Linked DNA regions of Macaca fascicularis. The protein of the gene in region 2 purifies or fractionates together with the protein of the main gene of each other region. This does not show direct contact. Links are inferred from orthologs where the notes say so. Each region holds a gene or a part of one and is shown on either strand. Other genes may lie near its edges.

What was found.
Region 1: the proteins of ITGB1 (region 2) and ITGA9 purify together in Homo sapiens (affinity purification with mass spectrometry; 3 studies listed by BioGRID and IntAct, counting the BioPlex papers as one, with this or other methods). This does not show direct contact. The link is inferred for Macaca fascicularis from reciprocal best matches to the Homo sapiens genes ITGB1 and ITGA9.
Region 3: the proteins of ITGB1 (region 2) and CD63 purify together in Homo sapiens (affinity purification with western blotting; 3 studies listed by BioGRID and IntAct, with this or other methods). This does not show direct contact. The link is inferred for Macaca fascicularis from reciprocal best matches to the Homo sapiens genes ITGB1 and CD63.

The regions. Positions count from the first base shown.
Region 1 is NC_088376.1:99,480,727-99,484,567, forward strand, and holds the start of ITGA9 (integrin alpha-9), read left to right. Parts: upstream 1-1,305; 5' UTR 1,306-1,543; coding exon 1,544-1,728; intron 1,729-2,208; exon of another isoform or gene 2,209-2,395; intron 2,396-3,841. UniProt on the Homo sapiens protein: Integrin alpha-9/beta-1 (ITGA9:ITGB1) is a receptor for VCAM1, cytotactin and osteopontin. It recognizes the sequence A-E-I-D-G-I-E-L in cytotactin. ITGA9:ITGB1 may play a crucial role in SVEP1/polydom-mediated myoblast cell adhesion.
Region 2 is NC_088383.1:33,663,581-33,667,321, forward strand, and holds part of ITGB1 (integrin beta-1), read right to left. Parts: intron 658-3,741; coding exon 419-657; intron 202-418; coding exon 1-201.
Region 3 is NC_088385.1:62,512,575-62,516,415, reverse strand, and holds the start of CD63 (CD63 antigen), read left to right. Parts: upstream 1-1,508; 5' UTR 1,509-1,561; intron 1,562-2,161; 5' UTR 2,162-2,172; coding exon 2,173-2,238; intron 2,239-3,176; coding exon 3,177-3,365; intron 3,366-3,556; coding exon 3,557-3,631; intron 3,632-3,725; coding exon 3,726-3,821; intron 3,822-3,841. UniProt on the Homo sapiens protein: Functions as a cell surface receptor for TIMP1 and plays a role in the activation of cellular signaling cascades. Plays a role in the activation of ITGB1 and integrin signaling, leading to the activation of AKT, FAK/PTK2 and MAP kinases.

The DNA.
Region 1 (3,841 bases), on a different chromosome or scaffold from region 2:
AGTTGAAAATCCTAGGTAGACACATTTCAGGAAGAAAGAAGTGTTGGAGAAGGCACAACGTGTGTGAAAACCCCTGCTGGACACATTCAGGGGACAGCTAGAAGTTGTGTGTGGATACATTGTAGGGTCTGTGGGAAGTGAGTCAGGAAAGGGGCATAAAATGGGGCTGGAAACAGATGGAGCCTCCATTTGAAGTTATGCTAAGGAGACCTGGCTCCATCCTATAGGCAGGAGTAGCTGGTGGGGGGCAACAGGAAGTTTTTAACCATTGTCCAAACTCTGTTGTAGAATTAAAAAGTGGAAAGAAGAGAACACAGGCAGGGAAACCACAAGAGTGTGGTCAGACTTCAACATGATAGCAGTCAATTCAGTAGGAATCTTGAATTTGAGTAGTCAGGTTCATAGAGACAGAAGGTAGAAAGGTGGTTGCCAGAGGCTGGTGGTGGGGATGGGGGTAGGGTTGGGGGAAAGAGGAGTTATTGTTTAGGGTATAAAGTTTGTTTTCCAAGATGAAGAGTTCTGAAGTTGGATGGTGGTGATGGTTGCATAACATGCATATACTTAATCCCCCAAACGGCACAGTTAAAAATGGTTAAGATGGTAGACTTTCTCTTATGCATATTTACAATTACACACACACACCCTTGAGTGCACGCAGACCCTGCTGGATTCCAACCCACAGAGCTTCTGATTTAGCAGAGCTGAGTGGGACCTGAGGATTTGCTTTTTCTGACAAGTTCCTAGATGACGTTGATGCTGCTGGTCCAGACACCACACTTAGGGAATCACTGGTGTATGAGACCAAGTGACTAGAATATGGAGGGGTGCTCTGCTCGCTTCCACGTGGCTACTATTGTTATGAACAACAACAGCGGGCGTTTACTGAGCACTGCTCCTACAGCTTATCTCACAACTGGGTGAAGGAGCAGAGGATGCGCAGGGCTAGAATCTGGAGTCTGAACTTGTCTTTCACCGGGGTTGCTTTGGATCTTACTGGTTGTGAGACAGGGAGGGAAAGAGAGACAAAAACAGGGAGACAGGCCCACTAGGGCCGGCAGAGCCTGTAGTGGCGGAGGGCAGCAGCTTTATCTCCGGGAACCCGAGCGCCCCGTGCGCGGCGGGGAGGGGGCAGCTCCCGGCGCCTCGGCGGGTCCCCGAGGCTGACTCCCGCCCGGGAAGTGCGCGCAGGGCTCGCAGCCCGCAGGGGGCGCTGCCGCGCCGTCCAGCCGCTGCCGCCCGGGCCGCCCACCCTGCGGGCGCGCCCCTCCGCAGTCCAGCGCCGCCCGGCCCGGGACCCGCTCGCGCAGACTTCTCGGGCGGACTGAGGACGCCCACCGCTCGGGGCCGTCCCTGTGCTCGCCTTCAGCGCCCGCTCAGCTCGCCGTCCGCGCCCCGGTGCCGGGCCCGACGCCCGCATCCCGCCCGTGTCCAGGCGCAGAGCTCCCGCCCCGGGGAGCTTCCCGGCCGTCGGCTGACCCCGCGGCCCGCGCGCTCGGCGCCCTGCTCGCCGGGCAGAGGGGAAGGCGGCGGCGGCCGGCTAGGGATGGGCGGCCCGGCTGCGCCGAGGGGCGCCGGGGGGCTCCGCGCGCTGCTGCTGGCGCTGGTGGTCGCGGGGATCCCCGCGGGCGCCTACAACCTCGACCCGCAGCGTCCGGTGCACTTCCAGGGCCCCGCCGACTCGTTCTTCGGCTACGCGGTTCTGGAGCATTTCCACGACAACACGCGCTGGTGAGTGCCCGCCCAGCTCCGCGACCCTGGCCCGCGCGGCCACCGCCCTGGTCCCCAGGCCAGCGCCGCCGCCGCCTTTCCGGCCTCCTCCATGCCGCCGTCCCGAGGGGGCGATTTAAATGTCTCTGTTGCGCGCGGCTCGGCCGCCGGGGGGACGGCGGGAGAAGGGAGGACGCCGTCCGGGGCCCTCTGAGGTCGGGGTCGGCGCTTGGAGGCGGACGGGGGCGTCCGGGCCCCTCCCCGGGGTCCCAGCCCGGAGCGTGCGGGGAGAGCCGCTAGAGTTGTCTCTCCGCCGCCCAGCCAGACTCGGCTTCGCTCTCTGGATCGCAAAGTAACTTGGCTCCTCTGCCTCCGAGTGGCCGCCGCTGGCCCGGTGAGCTTCCTGAACCTCGCAGGGCCTGGAGGAGTCGGGGCACTGGAGCTGCACCTCTCCCCGATTTTGGGGAACCCCTGAGGAAGTAGTATAGCCTCTACAGCGCCGCTGCGCGGGGTGGGGCTCCCCAGGGACAGGGTGTCTGGGATCCCTTAGGGCGCACTGGAGCCCAGAGCCACCCCCTCCCACCCCGCCCCTACAAGACCCTGGGTGGAAGTGAAGCGGAGAAGCTCCTGGGATATAGGGAAGAGGAGGGTGAGGGAGCACCTACGAGTGACACCGCCAGTGGGTCAGGTAGGTGTTTCTTGCGGCAGCCTGAGTCTCATCTCATACGGGCCATTCGACCTGGAGACCTTCACCAGAAGCCTTAAGAGAGAGACGTGTTTCTATAGAGGCCAAGGGGTCCAGCTGTCTCCTGAGTACGAAGAGGTGGGCCTGAAGAAGGGGGCGGCCCTCCCCCATGAAGCACCATAAGCTGAGTGGTACAGAGCTTGTGCCCAACCCCAGCAGAGAAGCACTAAGGGGAGGTTGGTGCCCTCACTGGCCACTTCCTCTGGACCCGAGGGAATGAACAGCCACATAGTGGTCACTTCTTGATAGGAGAGAGAGTTAGGCTGCAGGAAGTTCCCCCGTTCAAGGTCATGCCTCAGTGGGGGCCCAGGTGACAGCCAGGCTGGGGTTGATTTTATTGTGTAGTCACCAGCCTAAGCGTCCTTAGGGGTGGCAGGCAGGGAGGTCGAGGTCACTGTTGCCGGTGCATGAAGTTATGCAGGAGAGTCACTGCTCTGTATTGGACAGAGGCTGATGGAAAAGGGTGATTTGTGGATCGCAATACTCAAGCATTCCCGGAAAAGGGGACTCCGAGACCATCCCACTAAGAATAATGTTGTTCAGGAGATCAGCCTCCAAGAGAACCAGATTTCAAAGCCCTCACTTAGCTCTCTCCCAGCTCCACATCCCCCTCTCTCACTCCAGTTGCTGGGTTTAAGACCGCGTGTCTGTTCTTACACTTGTCAAATTCCCCTTTTAAAGCAGAGCAGGCTGAACATTTTTCTGTGTCCTGCAGACTCAGGGTCTGAGGTTTAAGAACACATCCCAGATCCCCACACTAGGCACCAAGCACATGGGAAGCGCTGTCAAAAATGGGAGGGCTACTGCGGACAGGGGGCTGCTGAGAAAGGGCCGGCAGCTGAGCAGGCAGCCAAGCCAGCCAGAGCATTGTATGTGATCTGCAGGCTGAGGTTGGCTCAAGTGCCTTAGAGCTCTTTGACAGCTAGAGGGAGAGAGGCCAGGCCACTGTCACTGTGGATTTGCATGGGCCACAGGTCAAAGCCACCCTGCCTGGGAAAGGAATGGGTAGAGACGAGAGCAGATCTGACAGAGAAAAGGTGTTCAGCCTACTTTGATTTAAAAAGGGGATAAAGAAAAGCTGTTGTGAGCAGATTTGGCCAGTGTAGGAAAAGACATTGTGGCCTTCAACTTGTTACCCAGGGTAAATGGTAGGGAGGGGATGTGGAGCTGGGCAATAATGCTGTGCATATCCTTGTTGCCAGTTGAGATGTGGGACTGGTATTTCAGGGGTCCATGGGAACCCATGTAGCTGGGCTGCTGGGCTCAAAAGTGCCCTCTCTTGTTGTGATACAAGCTGGCTGCTTTTTTGTGTTGGAGTGCTTGTTCCTGTAGCTGTTCAGGCACCAACTTTACTGAAATCTTCTAAAAATAATGCTTCGTTTTACTCCC
Region 2 (3,741 bases):
GGCAGGTCTGACACATCTCACATGTTTGCCCTTGGAACTTCGGATCTGTACACTTACAGACACCACATTCGCAGATGCCCCGGCCATTACAGATCTGTCCGTTGCTGGCTTCGCAAGTACTAGTATCCAAAGAACAGTCACATGCACTGCCAGTGTAGTTGGGGTTGCACTCACACACACGACACTTGCAAACACCATTTCCTGCAATTAAGCATATCATTTCTCAAACTAATGGTAAAAATATACAATCACAGTATTGACTGAAAAGTAAAATAAGCAACAACGTGTGAGAAAGTATACCTGGGGCAGAACTGACCCTCGAGCTACCCCTCTTCTACTTATGCACCAAGTAAACTCTAGATTTTTTGTGGCATTAGATGAGATCACGTCTTACAACCACTTCAGGTCCTTTACTTACCTCCACAAATTAAGCCATTGGATCTATCACAGTTGAAATTATCACACTCGCAGAATTTGCCAGAATAAATTTCATTTGTATTATCCCTCTTCCTACAAACACACTGTCCACAAACGCACTCTCCATTGTTACTGCAGATTTCTGAACTGTTTTCTTTTCTGCAGTAAGCGTCCATGTCTTCACTGTTAACTTCATCTGTGCTGCATTCACAATGTCTACCAACACGCCCTTCGTTGCACCTGAAGAAACATTCCAAAATTGCAATCACACAAAACAAAAATAATTTAAGAGGTTCCAAGATGGCCGAATAGGAAGAGCTCCAGTCTACAGCTCCCAGCATGAGCAATGCAGAAGATAGGTGATTTCTGCATTTCCAACTGAGGTACTGGGTTCATCTCATTGGGGCTTGTCGGACAGTGGGTGCAGCCCACAGACTGTGAGTCGAACGAGGGTAGGGCATCGCCTCACCAGGGAAGTGCAAGGGGTTGGGGAATTCCCTTTCCTAGCCAAGGGAAGCTGTGACAGTACCTGGAAAATCAGGACACTCCCACCCTAATACTGTGCTTTTCCAATAATCTTAGCAAATGGCACACCAGGAGATTATATCCCGCGCCTGGCTTGGAGGGTCCCACGCCCACGGAGCCTCACTCACTGCTAGCACAGCAGTGAGATCAAACTGCAAGGCGGCAGTGAGGCTGGGGGAGGGGCGTCCACCATTGCTGAGGCTTGACTAGGCAAAGAAAGTGGCCGGGAAGCTTGAACGTGGCTCAAAGAAGCCTGCCTGCCTCTGTATACTCCACCTCTGGAGGCAGGGCAGAGCTGAACAAAAGGGAGCAGAAACTTCTGCAAACTTAAACGTCCCTGTCTGACAGCTTTGAAGAGAATAGTGGTTCTCCCAGCATGGAGCTTGAGATCTGAGAACGGACAGACTGCCAGCTCAAGTGGGTCCCTGATCCCCAAGTAGCCTAACTGGGAGACATCTCCCAGTAGGGACCGACTGACACCTCATACAGCCAGGTGCCCCTCTGAGATGAAGCTTCCAGAGGAAGGATCAGGCAGCAACATTTTCCGTTCTGCAATATTTGCTGTTCTGCAGCCTCCACAGGTGACACCCAGGCAAACAGGATCTGGAGTGGACTTCCCGCAAACTCTAACAGACCTGCAGCTGAGGGTCCTGACTGTTAGAAGGAAAACTAACAAAGAAGGAAAACTAACAAACAGAGAGGACATCCACACCAAAACCTCATTTGTATGTCACCATCATCTGCAGCTGAGGGTCCCGACTGTTAGAAGGAAAACTAACAAACAAAAAGGACAACCACACCACAACCCCATTTGTACGTCACCATCATCAAAGACACCCACAGTAGATAAAACCACAAAGATGGGGAGAAACCAGAGCAGAAACGCTGAAAATTCTAAAATCAAACACCTCTTCTCCTCCAAAGGGACACAGCTCCTCAACAGCAACGCAACAAACCTGGACGGAGAATGATTTTGACAAGTTGAGAGAAGACTACAAATGATCGGTAATAACAAACTTCTCCGGGCTAAAGGAGGATGTTTGAACTCATCGCAAAGACGCTAAAAACTTTGAAAAAAGATTAGACGAATGGCTAACCAGAATAAACAGCATAGAGAAGACCTTAAATGACCCGATGGAGCTGAAAACCATGGCACAAGAATTATGTGACACATGCACAACCATCAGTAGCCGATTTGACCAAGTGGAAGAAAGGGTATCATTGATTCAAGATCAAATGAATGAAATGAAGCGAGAAATTTAGAGGAAAAAAGAGTAAAAAGAAAGGAACAAAGCCTCCAAAAAATATGGGACTATGTAAAAAGACAAATCTATGTCTCATTGGTGTACCTGAGAGTGTTGGGGAGAATGGAACCAAGTTGGAAAACACTCTTCAGGACATTATCCAGGAGAACTTCTCCAACCCAGCAAAGCAGGCCAACATTCAAATTCAGGAAATACAGAGAATGCCACAAAGATACTCGAGAAGAGCAACTTGAAGACACACAATTTTCACATTCATCAAAGTAGAAATGAAGGAAAAAATGTTAAGGGCAGCCAGAGAGAAAGGTTGGGTTACCCACAAAGGGAAGCCCATCAGACTAACAGCGGATCTCTCGGAAGAAACTCTACAAGCCAGAAGAGAGTGGGGGCTAATATTCAACATACTTAAAGAAAAGAACTTTCAACCCAGAATTTCATATCCAGCCAAACAAAGCTTCATAAGTGAAGGAGAAATAAAATTCTTTACAGACGAGCAAATGCTGAGAGATTTTGTCACTACCGGGCCTGCCTTACAAGAGCTACTGAAGGAAGCACTAAACATGGAAAGGAACAACCAGTACCAGCCACTGCAAAAACATGCCAAACTGGAAACACCATTGATGCTAGGAAGAAACTGCATCAACTAACCAGCAAAATAACCAGCTAACATCATAATGACAGGATCAAACTCACACATAACAATATTAAACTTAAATGTAAATGGGCAAAACGCCCAAATTAAAAGACACAGATCAGCAAATTGGATAAAGAGTCAAGACCCATCAGTGTGCTGTATAAAGGAGACCCATCTCACGTGCAGAGGCACACACAGGCTCAAAACAAAGGGATGGAGGAAGACCTACCAAGCAAATGGAAAACAAAAAAAAGCAGGGGTTGCAATCCTAGTCTCTGATAAAACAGACTTTAAACCAACAAAGATCAAAAGAGACAAAGAAGGCCATTACATAATGGAAAAGGGATCAACTCAGCAGGAAGAGCTAACTATCCTAAATATATGTGCACCCAATACAGGAGCACCCAGATTCATAAAGTAGGTCCTTAGAAACCTACAAAAAGACTTAGACTCACCACACAATAATAATGGGAGACTTTAATACTCCACTGACAACATTAGACAGATCAACGAGACAGAAAGTTAAAAAGGATATCCAGGCAATGAACTCAGCTCTGCACCAAGCAGACCTAATAGACATCTACAGAACTCTCCACCCCAGGTCAACAGAATATACATTCTTCTCAGCACCACATCACACTTATTCCAAAATTGACCACATATTTGGAAGTGCAGCACTCCTCAGCAAATGTAAAAGAACAGAAACCATAACAAACTGTCTCTCAGACCACAGTGCAATCAAACTAGAACTCAGGATTAAGATACTCAAAACCGCTCAACTACATGGAAACTGAACAACCTGCTCCTGAATGGCTACTGGGTACATAATGAAACGAAGGCAGAAATTAAGATGTTCTTTGAAACCAACGAGAACAAAGACACAACATACCAGAATCTCTGGGA
Region 3 (3,841 bases), on a different chromosome or scaffold from region 2:
CTCTCCCCTTTATTCTCCAAGGTCACCTTGAGCACATCCACCTGCTCCGTGAAATCCATTCTCCTCTCTCTTTCCCTCCCTCTGAACTTAACCAGCTGCCACCGCAGGCTTCTGCCTTTCTTCAGTGTGGCCAGAATTTGGTTCTGCCTGCTGGCAGAGGGCAGGGCCGCTGTCTTCCTCTCCTTGCAGCCCCCGAGCCTAGCATATACCTGGCATCTAGTGGCAGCACAATAAGGAACCTGACGAATACTCCTTTCTTCAGCTCTCCACTCCTCCTCCACTCCTGCCCGCCATGGTCAGGAAGAGCAAGGTCCGGAATGGGCTTGGTGTGTCCCACAGGAAGGCCGTGATCCTGGAAGATGCTTCTCAGCCCAGCCCGGATCTCCTTCCTTTTGCTCTAGAGACTTCTTTCCTTCTTTGTGTACACACATACACCAAGACTCAGGAAGTGGTTCTTGAGGCAGGACCCTAAGAGCCCAAGGAGTGGGTCCGAGGCTGGAGGTGTGGGGGTGTGACGACCGGTCCCACTTTCTGGCCTGTTCAGATCAGCTCCTTCTGGAGACTACCCCTGGCACACAAGGGAGGGAGGCAGCTTGACCCCCTAGCCCGCTTCCAGCCCTCACCTGGCTTTGTCTTCTGGGATAAGACGAGGAAATCCAGAGGATGTAAGCCTCTACCTTCGTGTCTTCCCCCAAACCCTCGCTATCACAGACGATGCAGGAGCTGTCCGGGAGTTGGGAGGGCAGACCTTGTCAATCCTCCCCCAGAGGGCGGGACCCGACGCGGACGTGTATTGATTGACTGGGTAGCGTGGCTTCGGGGAAGGGCTTCCTCCCCTTTTCTCAGACTAGGAACCCTGGAAAATGGAGAAGCTATGCTAATATAGGGGGGTCAGAAATCCCCACTCTAGAATGCGCTAGAATGTTGGGAGACACCCAGGATGTGAGGCCAGGGACTTTCTGGAACTGTTGGTTCTGGCCCCACCCGACCCCAGGCAGTCCCCAGCTGTCTGCACAGTCGGATGGGGAGGGGGCTTGCACAGAGTTGGAGCCAGAGGAGAGAGCTGGGCTACTGGAGAAGGATGGGGAAACCTCTCTCAGACCACCTTGTCACCCGGCCTCAGCTCTCCGCCCCGGCGCTCAGAGGATAACTCTCACCTAGCTCGTCCGCTTCTCTAAACCAGAGTGACCCAGGCTGCGCTCCGCCCTGCTCTCCTACCCCGAGTTGGCACGGAGGCGGGGCGCCAGAGGGGGGCCCCAGGCGCCCCGAGGTCTTGCCTTTTCGGCTCTCCGTTTGCGGGGGGTGGGCGCCTTCTTCCGGGTAGGGGCCACGTGGCCCTGGCCGGGCGGGGGGCTCGGCCCACCCCGCGCCGGGCCCAGTGACTCAGGCCGCAGCTGTTCCCGCGTCACATGAGGGAGGCCGGCGGCCACTGGGCGGGGGAGGGGACCGTGGCTGGAGCCCGGGGCGGGGCCGCGCGGCAGGCGGGGCGGGAGCCGGGGGGCGCAGCTAGAGAGCCCCGGAGCCGCGGCGGGAGAGGAGCGCGCAGCCTTGGGGAGCCCAGGTGAGGCCGCGGGGCCCCGGCAGACTTCGGCGCGGGCTGGGAGAGACCACCGGCGGTCCCTTCCTCCAGGGCTCGCCCCAGGCCCGCGGAGACTCGCCCGGCGCTCTCCAGCCGCCCTCGAGCAACTTTGATTCGAACTTCCCTGGGCCCGGGCAGGGTGTGGCGGGGGTGCCGGCCGCACCTTTTTTTTTTTTTGGTGGGCGGGAGGTCAGAGCCCAGGGGAAAGCGACTGGGGCAGGGGTCGGGGTTGGGCTGAAGACCGTTTCTCCGGGCTGGGTGTTGGGTGGGGAGAGGGTGTTTGACGCCTGGAGACTGAAGGGCCGAGGGTCGGCGTCAGGCTCGAGCCCCTACCGGCGCCCTCGGATCTATCCTGGGCCCCAGAGGCGGCGGGGCGGGGTCCGGGCTTCGCGGCGGTCGCCCCCACCCCTCTCCTGCGGGTAGAGAGGGGGCTGGGAGACGTGGTTCCGACCGCGGGTTTCCGGGTGGGAGGGGCCGGGAATCGGGGCCGTGTAGGGAAGCCCTCGAGGGCCGGCCAGGAGCCCGGAAACCGAGGTCCCCCTTCGGCCAGTTTTAATCCCCCCGCCCTCCTCTCTGCCCCAGGCCCGGCAGCCATGGCGGTGGAAGGAGGAATGAAATGTGTGAAGTTCTTGCTCTACGTCCTCCTGCTGGCCTTTTGCGTGAGTGGCGAGGGGTCCTGGGGGGCGCGCCGGCAGGGTGCGGGGAGACCTGGCTCCACAGTGGTGAGGGCTGAGGGAATAAGAATTAAGGCAGCTGGAGACCAGATGTGGAAAGAAAGCCAGGGAAAGACAGCGCGGCCACTCCCTCCTCCAGTTTTCCTGGACACCTGAGGCTTGTTTCCACCGAGAATGGCCATCCTGGGTGTGCAGCAACCCCTACCCCCATCCCTCCTTCCTGGCCCTTCCTGTCTGGTGACCCAACCACTTGTGATATGGGGCAGTGGGGCAACCAGCCAACCGCCTGATGCTATCGCCACGAGGCTTCCCTTCGCTCTCCCTTCTCCCCTCTCTTCCTCCCCAACCCCCTCATCCCTCTCCAGTCCCTCTCCCCCTTTCTGTCCTCCCAGCGCTTGGGAGCGAGGAAGGGCTCTGCCCACCTCAATTTGCTCCTGTCCTGGGCTCCTGGCTTGAGAGGCTACTGTTTGTCTAGGGAGGGGCACATCACTCTTGCCGCCTTTTCCTCTTCCCTTCTCCTGGCTTAACTGGCCAGAGGAACCTTAGTCACAGCTGATGCGCGTGGGGTGTGCACTGGAGGATAGTGAGGGAGCAGTTCTGGGAGAGAATTGAGCTGGGAGTACTGGAGGCCCGTAGAAAGCATTATTCTAGGTCAGAAATACGTGCCTTGGGGTCAAGGCTTTCTGGGAGGTCTTTGAATTTGGTCACGTCCCTGATTGAAGAGCTGGGAGGGGATCAAGGGAGATGGGGGCAGGAAAGGATGGGTCATCCCCCTTACCTACAGCCAAAGAAGTTCCCTGGAGGTGTGAGAATCTCTCCTCCGGATGGGGTCATGTCTGTGTCCTAGGTGTACCCCTTGCCCTCCACCATGGAGGACCACTGTGTTGTGGATCAGGCCTAATTCTCACCTGCTTTCCTCTTAGGCCTGTGCAGTGGGACTGATTGCTGTGGGTGTCGGGGCACAGCTTGTCCTGAGTCAGACCATAATCCAGGGGGCTACCCCTGGCTCTCTGTTGCCTGTGGTCATCATCGCAGTGGGTGTCTTCCTCTTCCTCGTGGCCTTTGTGGGCTGCTGCGGGGCCTGCAAGGAGAACTATTGTCTTATGATCACGGTGAGTGGGAGGCGGGACTAACATGGGTGGTCTGGGACTGCCAGAGCAACTTGGTTGGTGCTCAGGAAGGTGGGTGAGGTGAGGTGGGTGAGTGAGGAAGACCTTTGTGAGTGTCCAGGGACCGGCTATGCCAGAACGGGCCCCTGTAATGCATAGACTCCAAACCTGACTCCTGTCCTTTGCTCCTGCAGTTTGCCATCTTTCTGTCTCTCATCATGTTGGTGGAGGTGGCCGCAGCCATTGCTGGCTATGTGTTTAGAGATAAGGTAAGCAGGGAATAATGGGAAGGGCCTGCCTCAGCCTGGTCTGGGACCCAGGTGCTTGAATTCTGACGGCAACAGTGCTCCTCCGTACCCTCAGGTGATGTCAGAGTTTAATAACAACTTCCGGCAGCAGATGGAGAATTACCCGAAAAACAACCACACTGCTTCGATCCTGGACAGGATGCAGGCAGATGTGAGTGGGGTTGCTGGGAG